Tamandua tetradactyla: one gene and its partner. The protein of the gene in region 1 purifies or fractionates together with the protein of each later gene. This does not show direct contact. Links are inferred from orthologs where the notes say so. Each region holds a gene or a part of one and is shown in the gene's direction. Other genes may lie near its edges.

Region 1 (16,201 bases):
TTCCCCATGCTCCACCACTGGCCCCAGTTGGGGTTGTGGCCAGTCACACCCACCCACTCTTCCCGACCTGATCTCCCTGCCTCTCTCCTCCCTATGAAGTATTGGAGACCCTCTTCGATCACTCACTCCTAAGACTGCAGTCCCAGTAATTTTTTCCCTGTCTCCTGTATTGTCCTGTGGAGAAAGGGTGAATCCAATCTACCCTACCATGCCATTTTCCCGGGATGCCCTTTTTCCTTCATTTTTGAAAGGTATTTTCTCTAGGTGGAGTATCTAGCTTAATCTTTTATTTTTTCTTTCAATACTTTGAAGATGTTCAGTCTTGTTCTGATTTGTATAATTTCTGATGAGTTGCTGTCTATTTGTTTCCCTCCCAACTTAATGTGTCTTTTTCCTCTAACTGCTTTTATGATTTCCTTTTTATTACTGATTTTCATCAGTTTGATTATCATGTAATTTCATGTGTGTGTGTGTGTGTGTGTGTGTGTGTGTGTGTGTGTGTATCCTGCTTGGAGTTCACTGATGTTTTGAATCTGTGGGTTTATAGTTTCCCTCAAACTTGGAAAAATTTTGGCCCTTATTTAAAATTATTTTTCTTTATTCCTCAGAACTTCAACAAGACATATGTTAGACATTTTGAAATTGTCCTACAAATCATGGAATCTGTTCATTTGTTCCCATTCTTCTCCTGGTACTTCTTTTCGGCTAGTTTCTATTGCTATGTCTTCAAGTTAATGGGTCTTATTCTTCTGTAGAGTCTGATCTGCAGTCATTCCCACCCAATAAATATTTTAGACATTATATTTCTTTTATTTCTAGAAAATCCATTGGTTCTTTTTAAATATTTCACATTCTTTAATCATTTTGTTCATGTTTTCATTTAAATCTTTGAACATTTTATAATAACTGACTTAAGATTCTTGACTGATCAACCCCAAGAGGACCTCTTTTGTTGCTCAGATGTGGTCTCTCCCTCCAGCCAACACAATAAGCAAACTCACTGCTCTCCCCCTGTCTACATGGGACATGACTCCCAGGGGTGTGGACCTTCCTGGCAACGTGGGACTGAAATCCTAGAATGAGCTGAGACTCAGCATCAAGGGATTGAGAAAACCTTCTAGACCAAAAGGGGGAAGAGCAAAATGAGACAAAATAAAGTGTCAATGGCTGAGAGATTCCAAACAGAGTCGAGAGGTTAACCTGGAGGTTATTCTTACACATTATATAGATATCACCTTGTTAGTCAAGATGTAATGGAGAGGTTGGAGGGGGAACTGCTTGAAAATATAGAGCTGTGTTCCAGTAGCTGTGTTTCTTTTTTTTTTTTTTTTTTTTTTTTTTTTTTTAAAGGAAAGACAGAGAGAAGGAAGGAAGGATAGAAGGAAGGAAGGAAGGAAGAAAGGGAAACATTTTCTTGTTTTATTATATTCTGTTTCTCCGTTTTTGTTACATGGGCTGGGGCCGGGAATCGAACCGAGGTCCTCCGGCATAGCAGGCAAGCACTTTGCCCGCTGAGCCACCGCGGCCCGCCCGTAGCTGTGTTTCTTGAAGATGATTGTATAATGCTACAACTTTCACAATGTGACTGTGCAAACCTTGTGTCTGAGCTCCTTTTATCTACCTCATCAACAGATGAGTAAAACATATGCAATAAAAATAAATAATAAGGGAAACAAATGTTAAAATAAATCTAGGCTGAAATGTTAGTGATCAGTGAAAAGGAGGGATAAGGGGTAAGGTATATATGAATTTTTTTGTTGTTGTCTTTTTATTTCTTTTTCTGAATTGATGCAAATGTTCTAAGAAATGATCATGATGATGAATATGCAACTATGTGATGATATTGTGAATTACTGATTATATATATAGAATGGAATGATCATAAGCTAAGAATCTTAGTGTTTTTTGTTGTATTTTTAAAAAAATTTAAAAATTAATAAAAAAAATAAAAGACAGAGGTTCTTGACTGATAATTCCATCATGCTTGTCAGTTTTGCATCTGTTTTTATTGGCTGGGTTTTCTCTCGCTTCTGGATCACATTTTTCTCATGTCTAGTAATTTCTTATTAGATGCTGGGCATTTGAAGATTTTTGTATTTGAGTGCCAGATTTCTAGAATTCCTTTATTATAAAATGTTGGATTTTGACCTTGTAGGATATTAAATTACCATAGATCAACATGATCATTTCAATGCTTTTTTTTTTTCAGCTTACAATGGTGGGTTTGCAGTACCCTGTTTTACAGTAGTCTAGCACTCTAGGGCTTGTTTAGTTCCACTATGTGGAGTAACTTTTCTGGGCCTCTACTGAGTGCTGAGGGTGTTCAGTGAAGACTCTCCACTCTGGCTAGTTAAAAGTAAGAAGTTTTCCAGTCCTATGTGGGTTCTGGAAACTATTTATCTTATAGCTCATCTTTCTTTCTTTGTCTAACCTCATGGAGTTTCATTCTATGTATGTGAAGCTTAGAATTTTGCATCAGATTCAAGGAGATGTCTCTCTAGAATCCAGGGTCCTCTATGCAACTTCCTCCTCTCTGGCACTCTGCCTCCTAAATTCCAATTGATGTGGCCTTTCTGACTTCCAGTATCTTTCTCTCCTCAACACTGATAGGGTGCCAGGTTCTGCTGGAGATTCCCCTCCCTGCTTTGTAGACTGGAATTTTTCTGCAGATGGGCTGCAGGGGTTATCATAGAGCTCAATTATTTTGTTTCTTTTTTATCAGGGATTGATTGTCCAATGTCCAAAAAATAGTTGCTTCCTTGGGGGAATGGTGAGAAAGGGGAAAAATTCAACTTCCCCATTTGGAGAATTCCTGATATTCTCGCAAGTAGTAGGGACAACCAAATCACTAGGCCGAGCCCTCAATCTTGGCGTTTGTTCATATGAAACTTATCCCCACAAAGGATAGGCTAAGCCCACTTAAAATTAGGCCTAAGAGTCACCCCCAGAGAACCTCTTTTGTTGCTCAGATGTGGCCTATCTCTCTCTCTCTCTCTCAGCCAACATGGCAGGAAAACTCACTGCCCTCCCCTATTCTATGTGGGACATGACTCCCAAGGGTGTAAACTTCCCTGGCAATGTGAGACAGAAACCTTAGAATGAGCTAGGACTCAGCATCAAGGTATTGGGAAAACCTTCTCGACCGAAAGGAGGAAGAGAGAAATGAGACAAAATAAACTGTCAATGGCTGAGACATTTCAAACAGAGTTGAGAGGTTATCCTTACGCATTACGTAGATATCCCCTTTTTAGTTTAAGGTGTATTAGAGAGGCTAGAGGGAAGTGCCTGAAACTGTAGAGCTGTGTTCCAGTACCCATGTTTCTTGAAGATGATTGTATAATAATATAGCTTTTGCATTGTGACTGTGTGATTATGGAAACCTTGTGTGTGTTGCTCCTCTCATCTATGGTATAGACAGATGAGTAAAATACACGGGTTAAAAATAAATAAATAATAGGGGGAACAAATGTAAATTGAGTAGATTGAAATACTAGTCATCAATGGAAGCGGTTGGTAAGTGGTATAGAAAAAAATAGGGGGCCAAAGGTTAAAATATATTGGGTAGATGGAAATACTAGAGGTCACGAGAGGGAGGGGTAAGGTATGATTGAGTTTTTTCTTTCTATTTCTTTTTCTGGAGTGATGCAAATGTTCTAAGAAATGATAATGGTGATGAATATACAACTATGTGATTATATTGTGAGTCAATGATTATATATGAATATTTGTCATATATTAAGAATGTATTTGTATGTTGTTATTTTTTGTCAATAAAAATATAAATAAATAAAAGAAAAAAAAATAGTTGCCGCCTGTACTTTGTCCAGTTTTCTTGTTCTTATGGCAGGAGGGAAGTGCTATCCCAGTTACTGCATAATAGGCTGGAAATACAAATCATTATGATGCTGTTTTTATTCCAATTACAGCAGTTTCTCCTCAGTGTAGGGTCCATATCTGAAAGGGAAGTCTCATCAGTTTTAAGAGTTCATAGTGCGGTCTGTCCCAGCTCCTTCTATTCTTATTAGAGTTTCCTTGCATTGAATTGGGGAAAACCCCTCCCAGTTTCACTTGCTGTTTTCAAGTTCTTGAATCAAGTGTTCCAATGAATATTTGTTACCTACCTGAGGATTCTATTGTTCTCAGGTCTATTATACATCATGTTGCATCCCTCTGCTTCCTCCTACACAGATGCTGGTTCGTGCAGATTTATTGTTGTTGGAAGTTTGTTGTTCACCGTATTTGCTTTGATTTTTTTTTGGGAAACTTTGTCAACTAGTTTTATTGTAAATGCCCATGGACTTTCTGTTTTTGCCATGTATTAGGTCTGTGTTTTGATGTGGGGATTCTGAGAGATTTAAAAGCTGTTCAGCCTCAAGATAGCCACCATCTTCCCAGAATCTGGCAGAAGTTTTAAGAACCAGCATGCAATTTACCATGCTGTCTTTCTCCTGTCTGTACAACAGAAGCATGTATCAAAATGTAGCCTCCACCAGCCCATGCATCACTGAGTTATTACAATGAATAGGGTTTGCTTGGTGACCCACAGTGGACACCAGGCATGAATGAGAGATTTTTTTTTTTTGGTTTTAGGCCATTGAGGTTTAGGGTTTTGTTTTTTTTGAATTAGCACAGCATAATCTAATCGGCTTTGATTTTTAGAGTATGTTTCCTTTCCACCTATGCCAATTAGTTTAGTTGACTTCAAGGTAGCCACCATAAAGTTAAGAGAGGGGCATAGAAATAAGGCATAGAAATAAAGCAGTTTGAGAACTATGTCTAGGAAATAACTTTTGGTGTTGCTAATGGTATGTACAATGGATTGGAAACAAATAGATTGATAACTTACTAAGTTTTTAGGGAATTATACTGCTAAAGAAACTGTGAAGCCCTTACTATATAGTGTAAATGGCACCCTCTCAAATTGTTTAATGTGGCACTGCTTTACTACATTACTCACTACAGCATATCTCTAACCAGAACATCTCAGAAACCATGAGAGGCCGGGGCCACTTCTGTATTTTGAATTGAGGAAATCCCCAAACAAAATTATAAAAATTGTGATATACTTGGAGAGTTTACCTTACCAAATTAATGCATTTAACTCTCCAAATAGAATGCGCTATATAGAATAAGCACTCTTTTTTTTTTTTTTTTTTTTTTTTTTTTTTTTTTTATTAACGGAATGAAAAAAAAGAAATTAACACAACATTTAGAAATCATACCATTCTACATATGCACTCAGTAATTCTTAACATCATCACATAGATGCATGATCATTGTTTCTTAGTACATTTGCATCAGTTTAGAGGAACTAGCAACACAACAGAAAAAGCTATAAAATGTTAATATAAAGAAAAGAAATAAAAGTAGTAGTAATAGTAAAAAACAACAACAACAAACAAACCAACAAGCAAACAAAAACAAAAAAAAAACCCTATAGCTCAGATGCAGCTTCATTCAGTATTTTAACATGATTACTTTACAATTAGGTATTATTGTGCTGTCCATTTTTGAGTTTTTGTATCTAGTCCTGTTGCACAATCTGTATCCCTTCAGCTTCAATTACCCATTGTCTTACCCTGTTTCTAACTCCTGCTGAACTCTGTTACCAATGACATATTTCAAGTTTATTCTCGAATGTCCGTTCACAACAGTGGGACCATACAGTATTTGTCCTTTAGTTTTTGGCTGGATTCACTCAGCATAATATTCTCTAGGTCCATCCATGTTATTACATGGTTCACAAGTTTATCTTGTCTTAAAGCTGCATAATATTCCATCGTATGTATATACCACAGTTTGTTTAGCCACTCTTCTGTTGATGGAGATTTTGGCTGTTTCCATCTCTTTGCAATTGTAAATAACGCTGCTATAAACATTGGTGTGCAAATGTCCGTTTGTGTCTTTGCCCTTAAGTCCTTTGAGTAGATACCTAGCAATGGTATTGCTGGGTCGTATGGCAATTCTATATTCAGCTTTTTGAGGAACCGCCAAACTGCCTTCCACAGTGGTTGCACCCTTTGACATTCCCACCAACAGTGAATAAGTGTGCCTCTTTCTCCGCATCCTCTCCAGCACTTGTCATTTTCTGTTTTGTTGATAATGGCCATTCTGGTGGGTGTGAGATGATATCTCATTGTGGTTTTGAGAATAAGCACTCTTATTATAATGCTATAATTTTCAGTCTTCTTCCAGCAGCTTGATACTGGAATGTCATGCTCAATTGTCTGTTTGCAATTCCTTAGTTTCTGACCTTGATTACTGAGGAGAGAGACTAGTGGAAGAGTGATTCTAACACAGAGTGCCTTTTTGGCAGAATTCTGCCATAAATCCTATAGTGGGCATTTGTAGTTTGGGGTCTTTCAGCTTCTAGTCACTCTGATATCAAATGTGGTATTTAGTATTCTTTTTATTCAAAATAATAGAAAATACAAACCAAACTTGCTTTTCAGATATCCATCAGCATTTTTCTCAACCAGCCTAATATTTGCTCAGTGCGCTCATGAACAAAATGGCCATGGTGGCAGAGAGAAGGGGTAATACTACAAGCTCAACAATATGGATTTCTACTGTCCAAGAGAATCAGGGGAAGAGGATTCTAGCAGAGGGAATGGTGGATGTGGATACCATAAGGCAGGAATAACCTTGATGTGTCTAGGGAACAGAAAGCAAACCAGGATATCTGGCTCATAATGGTGAGATAGATGTGGTAAGAGGGGCTGTGATGGTTGATTTCATGTGTTCAACTTCACTAGATTATGGCATCCACTTGTTTGGTTGAGCAAGTACTGGCCTAATTGTTACCGTGAGGGTATTTTGTAGGTAGATAACAAATCTTTACTGAGTTGATCGCATCTATGGCTGCTCTCAATAAAGGCAACTGCATTCAGTAATAAGACGAATCTCTTCATCCAATCAGTCAGGGGCCTTAAAGGGAGAACTGAGGATTTCAGCAGTCAGAAAAAAAGAATTTCTATCTCTACTTTAGCTGGTCAGCTTCTACTAGGAAATTTGCTGTCATCTTCATTGGAGTTCCCAACTTTTGGCTTCTTCTGTGGAAGTCAACATCACTTTCATTGAGTTTCCAATTTGTAGCTTGCCCTATGGAATTGGGACTTGCTAATCCCCACATCACATGAGCCAATTCCTATAATAAATCTCATAATATCTACCTAAACACACATATTTTTATCCTTCAGTTTTGTTTTTCTGAAGAACACTGAGTAACAAAGGGGCTAATTATGTAGAGTTTTGTTAGCGAGGGTAATAGGATGCCACAGGAGGCTCTTAAGCAAGGGAGTAATGTTATACGATTGACATTTTTAAAAGATCACTCCAGTTACTGTATAGAGAATGTATTGTAGCCAGGACGACCTGGGAATGGGAGATGACCAGTTAAGGTCTCTTCTGGTACACTGCTTTTGCATACTAAGTTCGAGATGTCTGTTAGACAAATAGAGATGTCAAGAAGGCAGTTAGATATACAAAATGTGGAGCTCCCAGAGAGGGTGGGGTAGAAGCAGGTATGCAGACAACGTGCATCACCCTGAGCGTTAATTATGATTCCAAACCTGATGTGGAGAAGAGAGGAACCAGCCAATCTAGGTGTTGGCACATGGGTTATAGAGGATAACTTCCCTTATGGAGGCAGTGACTTATCCTCCATGGAAAGTAAGCATTCTGGATATAGAATTGCCTTCCCTGTCATTGTGTCTCCTAGCATGGATCCCGCAGACTTAGCAAATACCTTATACACTGTCAGGGTATTCCTTGCAACACAACTTCTTGCCTGGCACACAGTAGCCTTCAGACTTGCATCAGAAGGCCTAAATAATGGGTTAACTATCTGGATTGCGGCAAAGAAGAGCCATCGTTTTCAACATAGAATTTCCAAAATTGGAAAGGATGCTTAGAGACCCAGAAATCTTTCTGGGTAATTACTCTAAAGTGTGGTCCCTGAGGTGTTCCTTGTGACTTGGTGCCTGGGAATGGAGGACCATCATTTCGACTTCAATGAGTACAATATATGTTCTATACGGTAAATTTTTATATAAGATTTTGTTTGAATAAAGTTTCTGCTATTAAAAACATGCATAGCACTAAATGAGTATAACCTCTTCATTTTCCATATGGAATTTCAGAGAAGCTGAATGCCTTAGATTTTTGGGCATCACCTCCCTCCCGGCTGCTCTTGCACTGCCCCTGCCCTGCTCCAAGCAAGGAATGTATCATGCCCACGGGAGTGGGAGGGCAAGAACTATCTATAGATCCCACAGCCTCATCCCAGAGCTGTGAGGGACTTTCCCTCCTTAGCCGGGAGTTCCATCACGACGCTCCAGTTGTGTGATAAGGTGGCTGGAACCTGAATTGGAGCACTACAGGCTCTCAAGGAGGAATATGAAGCAGGGGTAAGGGATGGGTGTAGGTAATGTGGGCAGCAGAGCCATTTTCTAGAAAAAATCTTCAACTGCGGAAGCTTGGGGGGTAGTTGAGAGCAGTTCTGGATGTGCAGCTTGAAGGAGGGGGCATATGCTGCAGACCATTTAGAGTAAGGTCGGAGTAGCAGGTCGCCAGAGGCCCAAATTATTCCATCTGCTACTTCTCTGTGCAGCGCTCTCCTCATCTTCCTTACTTGGGTTCAAATCACTATTTCCCAGGCTCCCCACCTGAATCCTAGCGTGTGTGTGAATTTAAGTTGTGGACGCTGGGGACCACTTGTCTTTTTGGAGAAGCTTTTTCTGCCCATTAATTCACCCGTCAATAAAGACACGACCCTCTCCTGGTTCATCGTGACCCCCATTTCACAGGTGGGGCGACAGAAGCGCCGAGAAGAGTACAGTCGGGATGCAGTCCACCCACTCCGGCGTCGCGGGGCGGCTTGCGATCCGCAGCATGGGCTAGAGCGCGCAGAGCGAAATCCACGGTGCAGTGGCTGAGGGGTCTTGCGGTCCGGGGCAAAGTGTTGTCCGAAGCCAAATCCCGCCACCACCCGCCGCACTCCCGACTTTCCACCACCCGAGCCCACTAACATCCCCCAGGAGGGCGTGGGCAGGGGGCGGGGCCTCCATGTTGTTGTTTCTATGGGGCCCCGCCCCCGAGGGGGAGAGCGGACCACGCGGCCGGAGGACCCGCCTCCCCTCCCCCTCCTCGCCCAGCCCGCCCGCCTCTTTGTATCCAACATCCGGGTTTCCCCGCTGGCTCGGCTCCGCGACCGCGGCTCAGGAGCCATTTTGGACTCGGTTCAGCTCCCCTCCCCCCACCCCTCCCCCCGCTCATGGCCCCTCCGGACTCGGCCCCTGCGCCCGGGGCCCGGGCCCAACCCCGCTGCGCTATGCCTGAGCCGGGCGCGCCCTGGCCCGCGCTCCGCTGCCGCCCCCCGGTCCCCGCGTCGCCCTGGAGCCCGGGCCGCAGCCTCCGCCATCCGCAGCGGCCCTGAACTCGGCCCGGTCGCCCTCCCCTTAGAGCCCGCACGCTTCCCGGGTAGGAAGGCGCAGGAAGCGCGCGGGCAACGAGACCCAAGGGAGGCGCGGGAAGGAGAGCACAGCCGCCGCCCGGCCCTGCGCGCCCCGGGAGCGCCGCGCGGCCCTGCCCGCGGGCTCCGGGCGTCCGCGGGGCGGCGCCGCGGAACATGACGGCGCCCTGGGCGGCCCTCGCCCTCCTCTGGGGATCGCTGTGCGCGGGTAAGGACGGGGAGCGCCGTGGGGGGCGCGCAGAGGACGCGCGGGTCCTGCTCTGGGCGCCGCGAGGTGTTTACCAACAAAGGGCGGGCCCGCGGCCGCCTAGCTGCGCCACCTGCACCCAGCTCGCATCTCCCGGTGTTGGGGCGGCGGCGGGGGCCACCGGGACCCGCGTTCGGTGTTATTGGAGGAAAGATCTTGTCTTCGGGGCTCCAGATCCCGGCGGCTTTAAGGGTTGGGAGGAGTGTCGCGCACCGGCTAGAGTCACGGTCCGCTATGGGGGCCGGGGCTTGTAGCCCCAGGGTCTGGGTTCAGGCTACGCGGGCACGTGGAATCAGGAAGAGTGAGGGAAAACGGGGGAGTGGGGAAGGCAGCCAAACTGGGCGGGCAGAGCTAATCGGGGGTGGCGGCGGCGGGATTGTAGGTGCAGGAGCGTCCGGGGGGAGGGCTGCGCACCCCCTCACAACTACTAGGGGTGGCGAAGCGCAGGGGGCGGCTTCGCACAGCCCCGCGGAGTTTCCCGTACCCCACCCGGTTCTGCGTCGCGTACCCCGCACGGTGGGCTGTTCGCTCTGGATCACACCTGCTCCCGCTCTCTTTGCAGCGGACTCGGGGACGCAGGGTGCAGCCGCCCCGCGGGACAGCTTTGTTTTGGGCGCCTGGGAGGAGGAGGTGAGGCGAGAAGGAAAACCAACAGGTCTTCGTTAGTTCGGGCCTCTGGGAGGCACAAGGCGGGGGTGGGAGACCCGCATCCAACTCGCCGGTGGCCGTGGGGCTAGCGTTCAATTCTCGAGATGTAGGCTGTGTGGATGTGGGTGTGTATATAGGTGAGTTCCACTGGGAAGGCGCTTTTTCGTCTTTTCCCAAGCGTTAATTTTCCTCACCCAGAGGTCACGGGGCGCTCCTACACCCGGCGCGAAAAGACTGACTTCGGGATTCATTTCGGATACTCGGGGCAGCCTTAGGAGGCGCAGAAAGCTGAGCGTTGGGTGGCTGGTGGGCGGCAGCCGGGGCGCGAGGTCCCGCGCGTCTTTGTTCCCAGCCCCCATTACACATGCAGCGCGGGTCCCCCGCCGCCCGCGGTGGCAGCAGCCCAGAGTCTGGGAAACCCGCGAGGGGCGGGGTCGGGCCTGGAGCTGCTGCAGGGGTGGATGGAGATCGGGAATCGCCATCCTATCCCCACCTCTACTCTTACCAGCCGCCTTTGCTTTGTAGAGAGGCTCAGCTGTGCACGCTGACTGCAAGTGAGTTTCTTTGTGTGGGGCTGTGACCTGCGAAGCCCAAATGTAGGGACCAAAGACAGGTACTCTTTTATCTGTTAGCTCACTCCTGTGTGGTGGAGGCAAAATGGTAGTCAGTTGAATTTCTTGTTTCTCTTTCAGTCCTCCTACCTTTTAAGTGCAGTTTAAGATGCTTTTCCCAAGATTGAGGCTTCTGAAAAGGAAGACCTTGACCAGAGGTGGGGATGTCGGGAGTAGTCGGACTTTATAGGCATGCAGCAGCCTGCCTGCCTGTCCCTAGGAATCACCTTTCCTGGTAACCCCTTCTGGGACAGAATGGGCTGGAATCTGGGGACCGCCCCCCAAATTGCCTCACCCTGGCTTCATCAATCTCATATCCCACCCTCCCTTTATTGGGCAGGGCTAGATGGTATTGGGCCCCTGGAAGGACTGTTTCTCTCAATTGTCCCCCATATCCCCTATTGGACAGTGTTCCCTGCTAGGCTAGGGTATCCTGCTGCTCTCCCTACTTGTGGGAGCCTTGCCACTTGCAGACTTAAGTCCAGGGACCTGTGTTCCTGCCTTGGGAGGATGGTGGGGATTGCTGGGTGTTTTAACACCAGCCAAATGGCCACTCCCTTGACCCGTGGAGATCTGTAGAAAGAGTTGTTTCAGGCCCAGGTGGGGGCAGAGGTGGCCCTCCTGTTCCTTTGGTTTCGGGGATGACCTTCCTTCAAGCTCCTGGCCTCTTATTTGGAATTTTACCCATCCCCTTTGGCACTTAATGCCTTGAGGAAAATCTGTCCAATAGAAATAGAATATAAACCATATATAAAATTTTCTAATAGTCACATTAATAAAAGGGTAAAGAAACTGGTGAAAGTTAACATATTTTATTTAACCAGGTATATACAAAATAATCATTTGAACATATAATCAATAAAAAAATTATTGAAACATTTTTCATTGTCTTTTTTTTGTACTATATTTGAAATCCAGTATGTATTTTACAGTTAACAAAACGTCTTAATTCAGATTTTGTAGTTCAAGTGCTCACTAGTCATATTTAACTAGTGGCTGCCATACTGGGCAGTGCAGACCTAGAAGAAAAGGCAAAATTTATGCAATGGCAGATGGTACTTGTCATCCGAACAATGTTCATTTCTGCAAGATGTACATGGTTTGTGCCTGGCCCTATGTCCTTGGGAAACAACGTATTTGGCTCTTGCATTGTGATGTGTCTCCCAAACACAAGAGCTCCTGAAGTCTGTCTATGTACTTGGGGTTCAGATCATAGCCCTGGTGAGGGGGGAGCAGTGTTCCTGGGAGCCAGTGGCTAAGGAGCCCCTCTAGGCTGTCCCATCAGGAAGTGCAGGCCCTGACTGCCCTGAACTACCTTATAGGCTGCCCACTCTGATCCATGTTTTCTTGTCCATTTGCTTAAGGGAAGAAGGTGTGTGTGAGTGAAGTGACCCTTAGGCCCAGTGTAGTGGTTGCTGCTGAGGACATGGACCACACAGCCATAGGCTGTTGGTGCCCCTCCCCAGAAAAGGGATATCCTCTGATACTTGTCTGTGGACCTGCTGGACACTACAGACGCTGTCTTGTCTGGCTGGCCATGCTGCCTGTTACGGGTGTGGGTACCCTCCCCATCCCTCAGAGGGCCAGAGTGCTGTGGCCTCTCAGGGTGGGCCTGCAGGGTCTTTCTAGGCATAGAGAATCCCCAAATAGCACCTGGATCTCTCCTGGCACTTCTCTGAAGAGACTTCTTTTTCCCTGCCCTGATCAAGATGGCAAAGTGAGAAGCTTCAGGTCTCTGTCCCATGGAAGAAGTTTGAACAACCTGCAACAACTGGCAGAAACATTTTTCTCAATGCTCCAGAAAAGAGGTAAAGGACTGTGGTGATAAAATGAGCACCAGATCAAAGCAAAAGGCCACTTAAAAGTGGTAGGTTCTTTTTGCACCCTGGCTGACCCCTGTCCCACCCTTCCAGCTTGGTGCAGAGGTGGACAGTTCTCCAAGTACGGATCCTTGGTCTCAGTTCTGGAGGGAGCAGAGTAACCCTTGTTCACAAACTGGGAGTACATATGTTTGGCCCAATCTGGTACTGGCCTGAGGGACCTGCCATCCCAGAACTTGCCCTGCATGTAGAAGGAGGCTCACACAGCTGTGAGAGCAGTCAAATTGTGCTGTCTGGGTAACGGATAGTTGGAGGTAGGACATAAAGTACATAGTGGGTGACTATGAGGAAACTTTTTCCTGGGGAAGAGGGAACATTCTTGTACACCTGGAATTCCTAGGGTCATGCATGCATGCACAAAAAGGATCTGGGAGGCCCCTAGGCTGTGACCTGGAGCTGTTCTCCAAACTCATTCTATTGATAAGTTCTGGGAGAGAGCACCTACTTGCACAGGTCAGTCTACAAAGACTGGGAAAGGTGTTTTCTTTTTTTCCTCCTTTTTTTTGGTTAGCTCTTACCATTCAAGGAAAGCTCTGTTATAACACTAGCTGGGTATAACCTTAAGGAACAGCCTCCTCAGGGTCTAAATTCCAGTGATGACACATTAAAATATCAAAATGTTCAGGTTTCAACAAAAGATTACAAAATATCCAAAGATAGAGGAAGTGGTGGCCAAGGCAAAAGAAGAGATTAAAGCATTTGAAACCATCAGTGAGGAGGATCAGACCTGGCTCATTCCAGATAGAGACTGAAAAAAATGGTCATAAATATGCTTACATTGCTAAAGGGAAATACAGACATAGAACTAAAGGAAACCAGGAAAAATAGATGAACATAAAGAGAATATCAGTAGAAAGATGGAAATCAACAGAGCTGATGACCACTGTAATAGAAATTTAAAATACCCTATAGGGGTTCAGTAGCAGATTGGAGCTGGCAGAAGAAAGAATCAGTGAACTTAAAGAAAAGACAATTGAAGTAGTTCATTCTGAGGAGCAGAAGGAAGAAAGAATGAAGTGAACAGAGCCTTCATTGTGGTGGTCTGTGGGTCACTGTCAAATGTGCCCATATGCGAACTGTGGGAATCCCAGAAGAAGAAGAAAGAGAAAAAGGGGCAGAGAGAATATGCAAAGAAATAAGGCTTAGAAGCATCCCAGTTTAATGAAAGACATGAATATCATTCTGGGTTTGTATTATTACACATCCAAGCTGCTCAACAAACTCCAAATGGGATAAAGCCACATAGACCCACATTGTGTCATGTTATCAAACTGTCAGATGCCAAAGATAAAGATAATTGTAAAAACTGTAAGAGAGAAGCAACATGTGATATACGTAGGAGCCTCAGTAAGATTGAATGCTGATTTCTCATCAGAAACCACAGAGACAAGAAGGCAGTGGTGAGACATATTTAAAGTACTGAGAGCATAAAATTGCCAGCCAAGAATTCTGTATCTTGCAAAACTGTCTTTCGGAAATGAGGGAGAGATTAAGACATTCTCAGGTAAACAAAAGCTAAGGGAGTTTGTTAATACTGGACCAGCCCTATGGGAGATAATAAAGAGAGTTCTTAGGTTGAAAGGAGAAGACAATAGACAATCCAGGCATGCTGTTTTATTGTGCTTTGCTTTATTGAGCTTATCAGATACCACATTTTTTACAAACTGAAGGTTTCGGCAACTCTATTAAACAAGTCTGTTGGTGCCATTTTTCCAATAACGTGCTTACTTTGTTTCTCTCTGTGACATTTTGATTAAGGTATTGTTTTTTAAAACATAATACCATTGCACACACTTAAAAGGCTACAGTATAGTTGAAATTGGGAAACAGAAGATTTGTGTGATTTGCTTTATTGTGGTATTTGCTTCGTTGTGGTGGTCTGGAGCCAGACCCACAGTATCTATTGAGATGTGCCTGTGGAGTGAAACTGCATGAACAGAGATCTCCAGTGAGGGTAATGAGATGAGTAAATGTAAATGCCAGTACTATTTTATTTTATTTTTGGTTTCTACTTTTCACTTCCTATAGGATCTAGAAGGCCGATGTGTAAAATGTAATGACAAATCAGTAGTTTGGGATTCATAATGTATACATACGAACTACATAAAAGTGGGGGACGGACGGGTATAGAAACATAGTTTATGTGTGCTATTGAAGTTAAAGTTGCTATCAAAGCAGACGAGATTGTTGCAGATTTAGGTTATTGCATTTAAGCCCCATGGTAACCACAAGGAAAATATTGGAGAGTATGCAGACTCATAGAGAATCAAAGTATAGTGTAGATTGCCAGGATAAGAGGCAGGGGCAATAAGGAGTTAATGAAGATGAGTGTAGGGTTTTTGTTTGCGGTGAAGAGAAAGTAATAGAAATGGATTATGGCAAGGGTACTACAACCCTGTGAATGTGATTAATCAAATCCCAGTGAATAGTATGCTTAGGAGGATTTGGAGTAGGAAGATTTATGTTGTATATATATGTTTTCACAGTTAAATAAAAGTAGAAACTAATGAGACAATGACATATGTAATACATGATACTAGATGGGATCTAAGAATGGAGGAGAAAAGATTCAAAAGGACGTTAACAGGACATAGAATGATAGAACGTAAACTAAAATCAATGTTAAATTTCTTAAACTTGATAACTGCACTTAAGGTGATTACATAAATGATTATCATTGTTCATAGGAAAATGTACATGGAAATATTTTGTGTTCAAGGAGTATTATGTGTGCAACCTGCTCACAAATGTTTAGAAAATAGATTGATAGAATGAAACGGTAAATGTGGTAGAATGTTTAAATTGGTGAATCTGGATATCTGTGGGGTGAGGATATGTTGGAGTTCTCTGTATGGGTTTTATATTATTTTTGCAGCTGTCCTGTAAGTTTGAAATTATTTGAAAATAAAAAATTTTAAAGATAGAAAGAAACTTTTTGAGGGAACTGAGCAAAGAGTCCCTGGTTCTTCTTTGTGTCATGGGCCCCTCTGAGAATTTGATATTAGCTGTATTTCCTTTCCCCACATGTGTGTGTACACTCACTGTTTTGCGCTAATATAGGGAACCGGTTGCCCCTGCCTCTTTTCAAGTCCAGCCACGTGCACATATACACTGCACTGGTCTTGAGGGGCAACTTGCTGTCCTGAGGAGGTGCTCTGAGCTTGTTCCTTCCTTGCTGCCTCTACCCTGTTATGGCCACTGGAAGTACCCTGTCCTTTACTTCTGCCTTTTGAGATCCCATGCAATATTCAGATTCTAGTCCTAGTCTCCTCGTTCTCCTCCAGGTGGTGGTGCCCTGAGGTCCTCCACATCTGGATGCCCATGCATGCAGTTCCCTGTTTGG
Region 2 (16,517 bases), on another chromosome or scaffold:
TGTGATTTACATTTTTTATACTTATCCACACTTTCCACCTTATAGGCGGAGAAGGGATGCCATTTAAATCAGAATGCATGATGTCATCTACAAAGCAACCACTTTGGTATTGAGAGTGGACAGATCAGGAAGAATCGAGAATAAGCCTCTCGACTTATTTCTTATGCAGGTGCATCGGAAAGGGTGCCTCCATCTCTTCCCCCTCGCACTCTGATAAACAATTGGATCACTCGGTATCCAGGCTTCTCCACAAGTCAGTAGCATTCTGACTTGCAGTGATTCACTTTCCCCAGGGACCATCTTCCTTTTCTAGGTCTCTCAGAAATTTCCTTAGAAGGATCTGTAGCTTTGGATGGCCCCGTGAGCATTTCTTCACAGACATTCAGTGTTGATGAGTTGTACTTGTTTATCCTTTTGCCCCAGTTCCACCTTGACAGCTGTTAGAAATCAGAAGTACCTCTTTGTCAAGAAAAGACTGAGAGTCTTCTAGGTAAAACATGAATCTACCTGATGCTTTTTTTCTTTGCCTTGCCAGCAAGAAACAGGTTCATGGAGGTGGCCAAATTCACAATTACAGCCTAAAGGTCACGCACTGTACCTGAAACCTATTTTGGCTTCTTCAAAAATGCCTGCTATTCTTCATGGCACCAGTTAGGGGGCAGCAGATAGCTTGGCGTCCTTTGCTGTCTAAAGGAAGCTTTTAATTTGGAGATCCCGAAGTTGCAATATAAATGCATTACTGTTTTATTTCCACGTAACCTGGTCTGGCGGTTCTTTCCTGCACCAGCCAATCACTTCTGGAAGCCTAACCTCTCACCTGGTAGAATGCTTAAAATTCAATACTGAGGAAAGGTGAACCAAAGTAATAAATTATCCTCTATAATTACCGTACTCTGCCTCAGCAGAGTCAGTTTCATCATTATCTAAATATTACAGAATCCCAGTCTTCTCTTTTGGTCTATCATTCTGTCTCTCACACATGCCTAAGTAAGCTTTATGGTGACTCCCTAAAACACCCTCAGGATGGAACTGCAAGTAAGGGGATGAGTGAAGACATCTATAAAACTGCTACAGCAAGGGCCCCAAGATGCTAGTTTCAGAGGATGAAGTAAAGCCCAGCCAGTTGTGAAAGCATTTTTCTTCCTGGTGCATACATCATGGAAACACTCCTGTCTGATTTTGGAGACACTCCTTTCTGCAATATTTTATATATACATATACGTATTATGTACATGTGTGTGTGTGTGTGTGTAACAACTGAACAGCCTGACAATTTTGTCTATTCAAGTGTTTTAAAGAAATAACAGTAGCATGATGCTGGGTTCTTGAGAATCTTTGAATCAATGTCTTCTTTTGGTTTTAGTCACTTGTCTTTTTTAGTTTTCAGAAGCTCCTTATCTGATAAATAATAAAAGATGGGAAACCTGGGCCCCAGAGCAAGGCAGAATGATTTGTCACTTGGAAGCCAAAGCATGTATTTAGGCCTCCCTGTGACCGTCCATCCTGATTTCTTCTCATAGAAGGTTTGTCCATCACCCTAGGGTCATACAGAGCAGGGCACAGTAAGTTCAGTTGAACTGACAAAGCTTTTGTAAGGAGAGGAAGAGAAATAATACTAGGTAAGTAAACCTGGCTTTGTACCAGGTACATTCTAAAAGCTTTAACGTGTATTAACTCATTTATTCCCCACAACAACCCTACAAGGGAAGGGCTATTATTATCAGCATCAACCAGTCGAGGGAAATGAGATACTTAGTAGGTGAAGTAATTTTCCCAGCATCTACCAGCTCAAAATTGGTGACTCCTGGATTCAAACCCAGGCGTCTAACTCCAGGATTCATCTCCACCTCCCCAATTGGGTGCAGAGCCTGTACCGGTGGTCCCTGGGAGCCAGGTGTAGCTCCTCATCCCGAAGGGCTGCCCCTCCCATCAGGTGCCCCCTGGTCAGGGTTAACCGAGAGTCATTCTAGATGCATAGTTCTTAGGACTGCCTGCATTTCAAGTCCGGGGAGCAGATCTTCCAAGGAGGATATACTTTCCTAGGACAAAGATCCTCACTGAGATTTGGCCCTGCCGTGCCTCCATGTGAAAAGTTAAGTTCCCCTATCAGTGTTTGAATGGAAGGTTAGGGAGGATTGCTCAGAGGGGGAAAGTGTGAAATGGTAATCACTTTCATATGACACTTGAGAAATGTTATAATAAAGCTGAGTAAATTGGAGCATGAGTTAGCCAGTCCTTTGCCTAATGATGTCACCCACTTTCTGCTTCCTCCAGCCTATGATTAATAAAGGGGGGATTATTACAGTAACTAACTCCTGGTGGGCAGCAGCAACGTCAGCAGCAGCTGAGCAAACTGACTACATTTAGTCGTGCGTGTGTATGTGGGCATTTCCCCCCCCCCCCCCCCCCCCCCCCGTGACTAACGTGAAGCTAGCAGGATCTCATAAAACAAAAGCTCCTTGAAATTTAGGGAAACTTATTGGGTGAGCTCTTTTCTGCAGGGGGCACTATTTTAAGTATTCTCATTTCATAGTTAAATGATGTCGTTGGCCCTAAGTTGCGTTATTGGCTTTCTGCCCTCATTCATTAACCCATGGCCTTTGGGAGAGAGGTTTTCCGAGGCTTTCCTTTTTTTTTTTTTTCTCTCTGCTAATACAATGGCACTTCCTGCCTTCAGCAATATCTCCCATCTTGTAAGAGAAACTCAATGAATCTTAAGAAAATGGACTGTGGCAATAAGTTATTCTTTCAAAATCTGTGGCTGATCGTAGAAATCAGTGATTCCAGTTAAACTCCAAAGGGATCTTGTGTTTAATGTTAGTTTGCTTTTCCAAGCTGATAAAGACTAACAGAAATCCTGCTTGTTATTTCACCTTTGCAAACTTGACCTTCCTAAAATTAGAGCGGGCACCTGGAAATATTGACCAACTAAGCTGAGCCGCTGCCACGAGCCTGCTGCCAGCGTACGTGATTGGACACAGAGCCCAGTGTGTGGGACTGGATGAGCCTCAGAGGTTCTCTGTCCGGGAGGCAGGACCTTTGCACTCTTTCTATCAAGTGATGAGGGAGGCAGCAACTCACTGATTTTAAAAATAATAATAATAATTTATCCAGGACTGCCCCCTGCTTTTCTGTGTCTTTCCCCTTCTGAAGTTGCAATTTGGGAACGAGTTGTGGAAGTAGCATTGTGGATAGGAAAAACTGGATTAGAACCAAGATTTCTGCTCTCTTATCAGTCCAGTGGAATCTATAAGCTAAACCTCTATGTCCTCCAGTCAACAGCATGGAACTTATTACCCCAGGGGATCCAGGTGAGAAAAACGATTATGACAGTGTGTTGTATGTTCTTGTGTGAGCATTTTTTAATAATCTTCTGGGGCCATAGAAAGATTGACCTCTGTAGCAGATGTTTCCGGATTGGGTTAGAATTGAGATATGATAAGCAATGCAGAAATACATGTTGGTGAGGATGAACTTTGAGGGTGTATTCATTCAGTTTCAGTTAGTATTAGTGTTTGTTTCCTTTCTAATGTACGTTTTTGCTATTGAGTCTGTAAATGATTATTTCCTTAAATATTTGAGATGGTTAAAGTCAGAAACGGTTACTTCTCGGGCAGGAATCCAGGCATTTCTGAGTCACTAAGAAGTTGATTGAGGCCTTGGTTCCAAAATGACCATTTACCTGAGGAGATTGTGATTCACATCGCGGAGTAAATGAGACGGCGTCTAAGTGTCTAAGACACTCCCTTTACGGCTCTTCAGCTTTAAATGACCCACCACCTACCCTATCCTCAAGGCATTACATGAACTACACAAGAGTCAACGTCATGGCCCAGAGAACAGTATCTCACATCTAAGCTAGTTTGACCTGGGCTAATTCCCTTTTGCAGGTTCCACCAACATTCGTTGATGATGATGATTATATGATCTTCCCTAATGAGGGGACCCATCACAATAGCTTCCCCAGTCCTCACAAGAGAGCAAAACTTGAAAGGGCATGATCTTCCGTTAAAACCACAATAACTCAATCTTTTAAAAATTAAGTTTGAAGAACATAATCTTGCTTGGAACACGCATTAGGATTTAGCAAAGCACTCTGTTTTATCTCTTTGGATATCTATTGTATGCCATTCCCCTAAGGTATCAAACAAATAATATGAAGCCACATCATATTTTCTTGCTCTGGGAGACAGGCATGGTAATCACAATTTGTGAATCTTACTTCAGAAAATTCTCTATTGTATGGACTTGTCTGAGCCTTAAGGTCTGAAATGAACAACTCAATTTCTATTCATTTGCTCTTTTTTACAAATTTGCTGCCACCTAACAGCTTGGGTCTGAGCCAGCTCACCTCATTTTGTTTTTGGTCACCAAGATCTTGCTTTGGGTTAGAATAAAATCAAGCAGGAAATGTACCAAAGCCACACTGGGAACGTCATATTGTTGCTGGAAAATGGTAATGTCACCAGAGAGGGATTCTTACTGGGCCTGGTAGCTGCAGGGTGCCATGGGTCTCCATTAATTAGGAAGCATGAGACATACAAGGACACAGAATTGCTTGAATTATTAATATTTTGCATAGTTGTAACATTTTTTTCTTGATTGTCAAGTCCTCTTGAAGCATAGAGGGAAAGGGAATTAGCTATAACTTTAAAATTATAACTCTCAATCAAAATGTCTCAGTTGACATTTTGGGTCGCATAATTCTTTGGGGAGGTCATGGGGAGGGGCTGCCTTGCATGTCATAGGATGTTTAGCAGCATCCCTGGCCTCTGCCCATTGGACACAGTAGTGTACCTTCTGCCCCTTGCAAGATGTGATAATCAAAAATGTCCCCAGATTGCCAAATGTCACTGTCTTCAGCCCCCCCCCCCCCCCCCCCACCAGTTGAGAACCACTGCTTTAGACTGAAGAACGGAAGTTTACTTTCTGGAATTATTTCCCCCCCAGATCATTTTAACACTAGGATCTGGCTTCCTGGTTTGGACAATGGCATTTCCAAAGACTGGAAACAGAACTCGTATAGAGCACAAGACCTTGCAGGATTCCAGGGGTTCTGAGAGTTATGTGAAATTTAGGAATAGAGTTTTGCAATGAGTATTTTGACCCCATTGTTTCCCAGTGAACTTTGGAGGAATTTTAGTGCTCCCTTCTGCCTATCAGTTTAGAACTATTCCTTCACTGATTTAACTTAAATAACAGTTCAATTTTGAATGTGAAATGCTGGTCTGTCTTGTTCCAACATCCTTTCTACCTAACATGTAGCCCAAGCAGTTTGCAGGCTGTGGCTGTCCAGGAAACAAGCAGGGTTTGCCAATCCCATACTAGATCTAAATCATTTGGTGGGACCCTTAATCGCAGACTCCTTGCTGCAAATATCACTCTGGGCCATGGCCACATTTTCTTGATTTGGAGCTGCCTCTCTAGGGAGCCACCAGCTCACCCACGATGGAAGGTTTTCCTGCTTTGAGCCTAGAATAACACGTCAGCTGCTGAGAACACCTCGCGTCCTTTTGATTTCTCTCTGCAGTCACGTTTTATGTTCACTTTCCCAGACCGGATGAACCAGAAATCATGCTTTTTTGGAAACAGATTTTTCATAGGAACTAAACACCCTGACTCGTCAGCAGCCTCGTCCGTGCCTCTAAAGCCCCAGCCTGTGCCATTTCAGCTGAATCAGATGACATCTTCTCAGTCACCTACTTGCGGTGTTCACGTCTCCTGGCTTTTATTTTTTTGATTGAATAACAGGGATGCGTGAGCAGCAGTTAAAATAACAGACCCATGGAAAACGGCCCCCTTCTTAGGCCTGTCTCCTTGTTCCAGGAGTACGGGCGAAAGAGAGACCAATTAGTAGCATGGATTAAAGCTAAAGAAGGAAAATGAACATCCGTGCTTCTTGACCTATGACAAATGTCCACAAGGACAGTTCCTGTCGTGGGTTGACATCACTATAGGGTCAGCTGGTCCCCTAAGGTATTAAGTGGCTCCATCAGCCACAGGGAGGCACAGGAACACTGGTCTTTCTTCCATTCGCACCAGGGAGCTCTTATCCTTAAACGAACTTTGTTTTTTGACCATCTCACTAATTGTGATTGAAAACACCAACTCCCCAGCAATGCACAAGCATTGGAGTTAGCAGCAAGACAGGCCCTAATTGCTCCATTTACATAAAAGTAGAAACATACAACTTCTAAATATAAATCTCTGGCAGTCGTTCCTTTTGCAATTACAGTAAAATAAGGTACCCCAGTTTCACTCCCGGCTCATTCGCGCAGCAAGCTGCTCCACCGGGTTCTCTAAAGGCTGCTCCTCAAAAGAGAATAGAGACATGCAAATGCTCCAGCGTGTAGTTCCGAGCTTTGTGAAATCGCCAGTAAATCAAGCAGCCTCCACTAGGAGAATGACGCGGTGGCAGCGGGCCACTTTGCTAGTACAGTAGCTGGTAGGATCGAAATCCACAATTAGCAAAGAGACAGTGTGCTGGTGTGTGAACGCTCCCTGGCTCGCCTCTGCCCGCGGTGGATCCCGCCCGCCGGCCAAACTGGAGGTCCGGGTCCCTGACATTTGCTGTGGTTTCAGTCCCTGGCATCGAGGGCTGGGTTCAGAGATTCCCAGCTGCACTCACTGAACAGGGATTTTTTTTTTTCTCTCTCTCTCTCTCTCGCTCGCTCTCTCTTTCTCTCCCTGAATTCTTTAGCTGCCAAATGGGGGGAAAAATCAAGAGCTGCTCTTAAAAGAAGTTGCCCTTGCTGGTGCTCCGGGTAAAAATAGAGGCGGCCGCTTAGCTTGGCTTGGCCCTGGCTCCAGGCTTCCCGAGAGCCGCGCTGCGCAGCGGCCGCGTTCCGGCGTGATCCCTGGAAGCTACCAGCAGGTGCTGCTCAAGGTACAGTAGCAGGGCCCAGAAGCCTGGGACCAGAAGGGCCTGGGGTGCGGGGACGTTGCTGGGGGAGGGGGCAGGAAGTGAAAGAGAAACCAAAGTGAGGAACGAGAAGGAGATCTCTGTCTAGAGCGGGGCTCACCAGCCTATGCCCTAAGGGCCCTTGAGTTGGGAAGGGAAAAAAAAAAAAATCCCCAATCCAGAATGGTGCACAGAAGGTAATTTAATCTGCTGGCTTCCTCTACCACCCCTACCTTAATTTTTCCTGAGGTAGAAGTCATTTCCACTTTGGTTCAGCCTCTGAGGTTGGAGAGTCAGGTAGGGAATTAGATCAGAGCTGGTGGCCTGGGCTGGCTGAGCAGGTGGGCACTTCTTTGGCATCCCGTAGCCAGTGTGGTCCCAGAGTCACACAGAGTCACTACAGTGCAGGCACTGTAGATTCCAGTGGCACAAATGTTTGAAAAAGGCCCACCAAGCCTCTCAGAAACTCTTCTTTTCTGAGCACTGTCTTTGACCCTGAAGTTTAGTATTATTTTTCCCACTTTATAGATGAGAATACTGAGGCCCAGAGTTATAGAATTCCTGAGCAGTGGAATTGGGTATGATCCAGGTTTGTTATGTGCCCCCAAATCATGAGGGAACACCATGATGATTTCACAATGCCAGGGGTCATGGGTGGGGAATGGGTGAATTAAATGCACCCTATTCCCTGGACCCCCAGGTCATTTCTCTCCATCCAAAAGGGTGGAGGAGTTGCTTTCCTATAAACTGTTTCAGTTCCTCCAGTTCTAAAATGATGGGCAGTTTTGGAATTCACCACCACTCATCCTATTTCTACCTTTTCCTCTCAGATTCTCTCTTGTCCCTTATAACCTAATAATTTCATTTTCTACTTCATTTCTCCATATCCAGTTCTTGGAGTTCTCCTCCCTATCTGTGCCACCTCCACCCCCCACCCCCCGTATACAACTCAGCATACACATTTTCTGTGGGTTTAGCCAAGAGACCTCTCTTACACAGAAAACTTCTGGTGTCCTAACAGAACCTGCTTAAGTTACACATCAGGAGGCCAGAGCCTCTATATTTTGCTTGTGGGCACAGTGAAAAGTTTATTTTATGCATGTTAAATCCTGCATACAAAACAACATATCTGGTCATATGGCTTTCATTAGCTCCCAATTTTGCACATTTTATCCAACTTGTCATGAGAACCCAGCTTATGCTTCAGCTAGACTCCTTCAAACAATTCTTCTCCACCATTCTTGTCTGAAGATTCCTTCCTCCCGCGTCACTCCCCAGGCTTGGCAACATCCCCCACCTCTCCCCAAAAAGCAAAGCAAAAACTGGCCAACTTTATCCTTCAAGGAATATTCATTTCTTTTCATTAATCTCATGCTATAAGTATAACAATTTAGAAATCATGGACTTGAAGTTCTGGTAAAGCTGAATGATCCATGAGTTTTTTTTTTCTTTGCTGTTTAGTAGCCTGTGATTCTAAAACCCTGACAAAGACACTTACAAAGTTCACTTGCAAAAGAATGACTATTTCTAAATGATTTATGAAGCAGGCATTCAATTTCAAGATGTAAAATGATAGTGTAAGTCAGGGGAGGGGAGGGCATCATCCTATGGGTGTGCATATTTTTCCTAATTCATTCTGAATGAAATCTCTTACTTAAAAAAAAATCAGAATCATTGTAAAGAGCACTAAGAATTTTCTTCCCTGTAAGAAACAATAAAATACTTTTAAAATAGAGGCAGCTTCATGAAGTAACAGATGCTTTATGTAAAGACCTAAAACAGAACCCTAGTATGATGAGACGTGTGTGTATGTGTGAGTAGTAAAAAGAGAAGTTGAAAAATGGACACTCAATGAGCTATCTGTCCAAATCCCTTTTTTTTTCTTAAAGGTAGTCGAGTCACAGCCAGAGGATTCACTGGGCTTTCCATTAGATAATAAATTATGAAATATGTCTCACACTGGAAAAACCAGTCATCCACTGATGTCATCCTGATTCTAACCAATCCCCAACAAAGCCCCAGCCCTCCTCTTTTGAGTGGTACCGATATGTGAGTGTACAAATAAGTAGTACAGTATAAAACTTCACAGTGCCAATACTATAAAGAGGAACTCAGAGAGCTCTGGCCACATGATACAAGAATCTGCTGGCGAAAGAGAGGGGACCGGAAAGGTAATGCTTTTTAACTCTTCCTTAGGAGCGATTTGCACATTCATAATCAGAGGGAATTTTAAAAAGAAATTTACAACTTATTGGCACTTCCATGGGAGTTGCGATTTGTACCTTTTTATATTCTTCAGGCAGGTTAATTCAGCTTTTAATAGTCCTAGAGCATGCAAATAGATTATGTGTTTATACAACCCACTCAGCACATATATACCAGCACATATGCCAAACAGAAAGCTATTTTTAAGAGTTCCATTCGCAAACAGTAAATTCAAGGAACACACACAGACTCACATTCAGAGGGAATCCAAACACTGATAACTTGCACTTATCTAAACGCTACTATTAAGACTCTTGAGTCCTTTCAAGTCATTAAACTTTGAGTTCTATTTCAGACTCTCTTGTAAAACTTAATTGGACTACAAAATGCTTTGGGTTCTCTATATGTGGCTCCAAATAGGTAGATGATGCTGAGTATTATATTACAAAGATGTTTTATTAAGCAGTTATAATGCAAATGCCACCCTATTCTTTTTCACCATACCCCACCGAAAAAAAAAAAAAAGGAGAGGATTTTAAGGCAATATTGATAAAGCCTTAAGAATAGCAATGGAGTAGATCACTTTCCTTGAAGCAGAAGCCCCAAAGGTGATAGATGCCTTAAACCAGGGAAAGTCTTGCAAATAGTTGTTTTGGAAATGGGGCAGGGTATACAATCCAGAGAAGCATTGTTCTATCTGACTGTAATTTTGACAATTTCCTTCTCCTCCTCCCTTTGCACTCAGATGTAATGTTGGTAGTCATGATATTTATTAATTTTTTCCCCCCCAAAACTGCTTTGCTCGACTATAATGCTCTGAATACACTAGGTGTCAGATATAAGCTGACTGTATCTACAGAAACAGAGAGGGCTTATGTGTGGGAAAGAAACCAAGAGGGAAGGAAAGCTTTAACAGATGGACCTCTTAAAGTATTTCTGCATGATAAAAGCAATAAGACAGAAAATGAAAAAAAACAGGGGGGTGGTGGTGGTGAGGGGCATGGAGGGAAAAAAACCTCAGAAAGGCATTGTTTAAGAAGTTACATGTTTCTTTTTCTATGAACACTAAAATCCATGTTGATTTCATCTGCGCTGCTCCTTTGAGGGGGGGAAAAAGAAGCAGGAGAGGAGCCTGCCAATGAATGTCCTGGTGGGGACTGAGGGTAGGGGGCAGGCTGAGAAAACTACCACATGACAGAGAAAATAATTTGGTAATATATTTTAGAGATTCTTTTCCCAGAGGACTAGTTACTCAAGTATAGGAGTGCACTCTTTTGTATGAAACGATGTGGGAAAGGCCAAATGAATGTCGCACCTTATCTGTGAAGTCGAGCAAGCAGTGGTCGGCTGCACTTTTACGTGTGAGTGTGTGCGGGGCAGAAAGGGGAGGCTGAAAGGGGACTGGAGAGCAACTTCCCTGACACTGGCGTGCACAGTGCTGCTTGCCGTTTGACTCTTTCAATACCCTGCCACATTCTGCGGTTGGGAAAAGTAGAGTGTATTATATGACCCCACACAAAAGTTCTATCGCATTCCCTTCTGATCGCCTGCCAGTGTTGATAACCCCAAATACCTGAATATGAATGAATGGGGAAAGGAACATCTCAGGTCCCCTGCATTCAGGCCAGAACTGGCCAAAAGTCTCTTTGGCTTCTGTCTCCTCTGTTCCCTGACCTTCACAACGGGTCCTCTAGGACCTCCGGCAGCCTGGGCCGTCACTTTAAGGACCTGGTGGGCTTTTCACTACTTAGGGCCATGGTGGCTGGCTAGGGCAGAGGAGAGGTGGGGGCTTATTTTCTCAGTCAAGTCATCCCTGTTAACTGAGAACAGTGCATTTGTTTGGAAGTGCCCCTGCTTCTCGCCCCTGCCCCCCAAAAACCCAACAATAACAACAACAAAAAACCCACCAAAAAAAAAGAAAAAAGAAAAAAGAGGAAGAAAGTGAATCAAGAGGATTGGAAAAAAATTAAAACAAAGTCGCGCAAATTTAAGGTAATTTAATTCAGAAGGGAAAGTAGAACCCTGAGCATGGCGCTACTTGAAGAGAGGTGTGTATGAGGGAGCAAAGGAGCAGAAGGAAAGCAGCCTGTCAGAAAATGGGCTGTCCCTCCCCTCCCTAGTCACAGCCTTTACTCACTGACAAACTCCCTCCCTCTCCCATTCACTCACTCACTTAGGGCCAATCCGTTCTCTCTCTCTCTCCCTCTCTCTCTCTCTCTCTCTCTCTCTCTCTCTCTCTCTCTCTCTCTCTCTCTCTCTCTCTCTCTCTCTCTCTCTCCCTCTCTCTCCTTTTCCCCCCTCCCTCTCTCCTCTCTCTCTCTCTCTCTCCCCCCTCTCCCTGTCTCTCTTTCTGTCTCTCCCTGTCTCTCTCTCCTCCCTTCCTCTCTCTGTCTCTGTCAGCCCCCCCACCCTGCTCTCCCTCCCCCTTCCCTCCCTCCCTCTCCCTCCCTCCCTCCCCCCTCCCTCCCTCCTCTCTAACTCGGAGACAGTCAGGACTCTCCTCCCTGACAGCCACAAACCTACAGCACTCACTGCATTCAGAGAGGGAACCTGCAAACAAAACTTCACAGAAAACTTTTTGTTCTTGTTCCAGAGAATTTGCTGAAGAAAAGGAAAAAAAAAAAAAAAACCGAAAGAAAAAAAAAAAAAACCTGTGCGTGAGGGGGGAGGAAAAGCAGGGCCTTTTAAAAAGGCAATCACAACAACTTTTGCTGCCAGGATGCCCTTGCTCTGGCTGAGAGGATTTCTGTTGGCGAGTTGCTGGATTATAGTGAGGAGTTCCCCCACCCCAGGATCCGAGGGGCACGGTGCAGCCCCCGACTGCCCGTCCTGTGCCCTGGCCACCCTCCCAAAGGATGCACCCAACCCTCAGCCGGAGATGGTGGAGGCGGTCAAGAAGCACATTTTAAACATGCTGCACTTGAAGAAGAGACCCGATGTCACCCAGCCCGTGCCCAAGGCGGCGCTTCTCAACGCGATCAAAAAGCTTCATGTGGGCAAAGTGGGAGAAAACGGGTATGTGGAGATTGAGGATGACATCGGCAGGAGGGCAGAAATGAATGAACTCATGGAGCAGACATCAGAGATCATCACATTTGCGGAGTCAGGTTGGTGCTGGCACTGGTGGGGGGTGGGGGGAGTAAAATATATTTCTCTGACAGTCCGAGGAGGAACTTCTTTTCCCTCCAGCTATAAACCGCTTGGAAAGGTTGTTCGTTCTTAGGTGATGGTAGCAGATGGAGGGGAGGCTGGGAGGGGGAGAGGGCTTCACAGAAACGGAATTCTTCCAGGTCGAACTCCCTGGCTGGGGATGACTTGCTTACACTTGCTAACTCAGCCGGACACCCAGGGAGGAAGCTGTCCGCCAATCTCGAGCTGGAAGCCAGGCAGCGAGGGGCTCTCCTCCCCCCTGCCTAGGAAAGAAACCCAGGCAGCCGCAGGAAAGCGGGGGCATTTTCGGGTGCTAGGGGAGCAGAGGAGGCTTCCGAAACCCCATCCAAAGTTTTGATTCGGGGGCGGGGTGTGGGAGTGCGGTGATCGGGGTAGAATGGCACAGATGAAGTCATTATCTTAAAACAAACCTTCCCCTTTAAAAGTCCAACGAGGGGCCACAGATCCGAGAAGCAGGGCAGAGTTACTAGTGACAGGCACTTTTACCTTTAGAAAACTGTGTCCCTAAGTGCAGAGGCTCCACGGTTTAAGCAGTAAAGGGCTACTTTGGAGGACAATTCACATTGAACCAGCAGTCACTTTTGGAATACTGACTTTTGCTCTCTCTCGTTCTTTTTTTTTTAGATTGAAAAAAAAGAGAGAGAGAGAGAGAGAGGGTTTTGTTCTCTGTAAAGTTACCAAGAGCTCTCTGCCAAGGAATGCAACCTTGACAAAGTGCTCTCAGATACTACGCTGAACTCTCACTCAATCCTTAAGAGGAAAAACTTTAATAGATTCTCATCGTTGTCCCAGGACCATGCTAACCTGTTGCTGAATAGAAAATACCTGTCAGAAAGTCTGGGCCAGAGACCTGGAGCCAGGCTGTTTTTCTAGTTCCATGACAAAGATCACTTTGCATGCCCCAAGCCCATGCACGGCGGGGCGCACACATGTGTCAGTGCCATGTCACTTTCCCTGTGATGCCACGCTAAAGAATTGTACGTCTTGCCAAAGCCATTCGAAAGGAATGCCATTGTTTTGTGTGGTAGAACATATGGCCAGTTAAGTATGTGCAGGGACTCCTAGCATTTTTGTTTAAAAGTTTGCCGCAGCAGTATAAACAATTAAGGCAACACTCAGAATTTCCAGTCCTGAAAACCTGTTGACTCAGATGTTCTGTTTTCCAGAAAACCATGCAGGACTGGGCATCCTTTGGGGAGCAGAGAACCTGCTGGCCTCGTGGCTTGCCCCTGTAGGAGAAACCTCGGTGCCACAAGTCCTCAGGCCCTTAAGCTCTCTCACCAGAAGCCTCTTTTTCTCTCTTTAGGGCAGGTCTTAGCTTTCTTTCCATAAATCTTTCCTGGTGCAACTCCAAAGGACGTGCTGATTATGACTATCATTTGAAGGCAATTGAGGAAAAAAGTCAGGCTGGAGTTTTCAAGTCGCCAGCCAGTTTTTCTCAAACCTTCACAGTTGTAAAGTAGGAAAGGAAAACCTTGGGTCCTATGAGTGGGATGGATTCCAGCCGTGTAAAGGGCTGCTCCACGTACTGACATGAGGATATGAGCTTTCATATACCGACTGGTCACACATGATGGCGCCAAATGAAATGCCTAATCAATTGGCTTTAATGTCACATGACAAAGTTTATCTGTGTCCTCCACCAGTGCCTGGCCATCAACCGAGGGATCCGGTCTTTTAGTTATACACCTGAGCTAGCAATATGGCCTTCTTTCTGACTTATTGGACTTTTAAAGCACATCATTCTCTTGGCATTCAGGAACTTTTGCAGTGAAAGAATTTGACCATTTGCCTTCCTTCAGTGGTACCTCTCAGTGCTGAACTTCTCAGTTATAGGAGATTCTTTTTAAAAATAAAAATTAAAAAAATTCTGCTAGGTGTTTAGTTTGAAAGAAACTGCACTGCTTTTTGAAAAGGTGATTCATTTAATTTACAAGTTGCCTAAAGTTTAAGGTTTGTAATGGAAAACTCCTCCCAGTTGAGTTTATAACTTGACTTTGGGTGAGCTGCTGGATGCTGAGAAGAGGTTGACTACATTGGTTTATTTTTCCTCATCTCAGAGGTTTTACACATCAGATTTAAGTTGAATTCCTATTATTTCACAGATTTAATGACTGTTCTTTAGTAGACAGTCCATTCTCTGAGTACAATGTGAGCATTTTGATGCCAATTTTGCTATGCAGGGAAAGATTTATCATCTGAAGGATTGCAGACAATATATAAAAATGAAAAGCAGTGATCCATGTCTTTGTTGCTTTGGAATAACTGAACCTTAATATTCCAGCCATCCAAAATGTCAAGATTTTTGGAGGAAAGGACATTTTCTTTATTTTAAAACTATTCTTTGTACAGCATGAAAGCCAGTTGATAAAAGTATCACCTGTGTGCATGCTACAGACGCATACCCAGAGAAGTGCTTTTCGGCTACGAGTGCCTTCAGTTTGGGGATACATATCTCGTGCTTGTCTCTTTTCTCTTTGATTGCTTGATAAAGCCAAGATATGGTCACAGGAGTTGAGGTGCCTAAGAACTAATGCCTAGAACTCTTTTTACCTGAGTTTGTCTCATTGGGCTCAGGTAGAATGTGCCTATGTTTGTACAGCTAATGTGAGTTGTTATTGAGTTAGAAGAAGGGAATTAACTCTAAGGCACCCTGAAGTTTATTTCAACAAATAAAAATGGTGTCTTTTTATTCTATCACCAAAGAATGCTCACCAAGGTTAGTGTCTTGTCTGTTTAGGATAAGAGCCTCAGGGTTTACTTTAAGGCCTTAAAGAGATGTCCTTGCTACAGAAGAGAGGCAAAAGAGTCAGCTGTCACTATACTCATACATCGACAATAAAGCTAAAATTGATGGCTTTCTTGGCTGCTGTACCTTATTTTATCTATGATAGTAACTGGCCAGTCAATGCCCAGCAATCAACTGTTGAGTCTCCCTCCATACACTGCCAAATTTACAGGCTGATTCTGATAATTAACTTAGCCAATCGACTGCACATGTTAAAGAAAGGTAAGGGAAAGCAAGAAAACTGAAACACCAAGAAATGGAAAATGCTCACAGAATCTAGATTTTGTCAAAAGCAACACATAAATCTCCCCTCTTGGAGATTACTATTTACAGAAAGCTTGAGTTATAAAATTAGGTTGCCCAGAGAGGGGTCTAAGAAGGCTTGTTTGGATGGCCATCTTCTCCCACCCTAACGAAACCCACCCCAAAGTGAAGTTAACTCCTCCTGTTCCACGCCTGTCTTCTCAACTTCTCCTGTGAGGTCCCCCTCACTGACCAAAGCCTGTAAGGGTTGCACACTGTCTTCTCTGAATAACGGGGAATGACTGGCCACAAGAGGGCGTATTCCAAAGGCTTTTGCCTTTCGCTAGTTAAATCTTCCAGTGAAACCCAATCTTACCTCCTGGAAGCCCCAGTCCTTAGCGCCCTAATCTTAGTGATTTTTCAGTCACCTTCTGCCTCGCTTCCTCTCATCCTCCTATAAGACTATAAGAATTGTATGGGATGGGAACATATCACCATCTATGACACGTGAAATGAGGCAGAAGGAAAGGAAGTGGGGATGCTGGTGATATGTGTAAGCATTCCGGAGCCCAATGGACCGCAGAGGGGTGATAAATGTTAAAAGCAAACAGAGCAGAGCCTAGAGAAATGTGACTGTGACTCATCAGCAGTACTGATTTGTTCACGTCTGTCCCCTAATACGGTCGCCTGGGCTTTATGCAAAAACGTCATCGGTCTTCCTTGATTTTCTTGCCCAGATCTCCTGCCTTATTAATGCTTTTCACTAGCAACAAATGACAAGTGACTTCCAATGGGGAGGGAAAAAGCCTATTTATTTAACGCCTTTTGGGAACATGGTGTTCAGCTTCTGAGGATGCGTTTGTTTCCGAACAGAGGGTGTGTACAGAAATGGTGGATAAAAAGATTTAGAAAGAGATTAACAGTAGTTTTGCCTTTGGGAAATAGGTATTGGGGTCAGGGGTGGGGGAGGTGTTAGGGTGTAAGTTCAATTTTGGCATTTGGAGAATTGGGAGTAATACCTTCCCAGGCACTTCTCTTGAAACACATATTTGTCTTGGCCCCTCTTCTGCTAAAATATACTTGAGTATGATTTCTTAACTGAAGTTCAGAATTCTTCATACTTGACTGGTTCCTAGATCCAAAATCAAATGTGTAAAAGTTCTCAGGAACTTTGGAAGAAGTCTGAATTTCTGTGGGTGGAACCTTAGG

What was found.
Region 2: the proteins of ACVR2B (region 1) and INHBA purify together in Homo sapiens (affinity purification with western blotting; 3 studies listed by BioGRID and IntAct, with this or other methods). This does not show direct contact. The link is inferred for Tamandua tetradactyla from reciprocal best matches to the Homo sapiens genes ACVR2B and INHBA.

Annotation. Positions count from the first base shown.
Region 1 is NC_135341.1:48,881,092-48,897,292, reverse strand, and holds the start of ACVR2B (activin receptor type-2B), read left to right. Parts: upstream 1-9,615; 5' UTR 9,616-9,628; coding exon 9,629-9,680; intron 9,681-16,201. UniProt on the Homo sapiens protein: Transmembrane serine/threonine kinase activin type-2 receptor forming an activin receptor complex with activin type-1 serine/threonine kinase receptors (ACVR1, ACVR1B or ACVR1c).
Region 2 is NC_135327.1:80,348,738-80,365,254, forward strand, and holds the start of INHBA (inhibin beta A chain), read left to right. Parts: upstream 1-8,991; 5' UTR 8,992-9,072; intron 9,073-11,590; exon of another isoform or gene 11,591-11,699; 5' UTR 11,700-11,825; coding exon 11,826-12,213; intron 12,214-16,517. UniProt on the Homo sapiens protein: Inhibins/activins are involved in regulating a number of diverse functions such as hypothalamic and pituitary hormone secretion, gonadal hormone secretion, germ cell development and maturation, erythroid differentiation, insulin secretion, nerve cell survival, embryonic axial development or bone growth, depending on their subunit composition.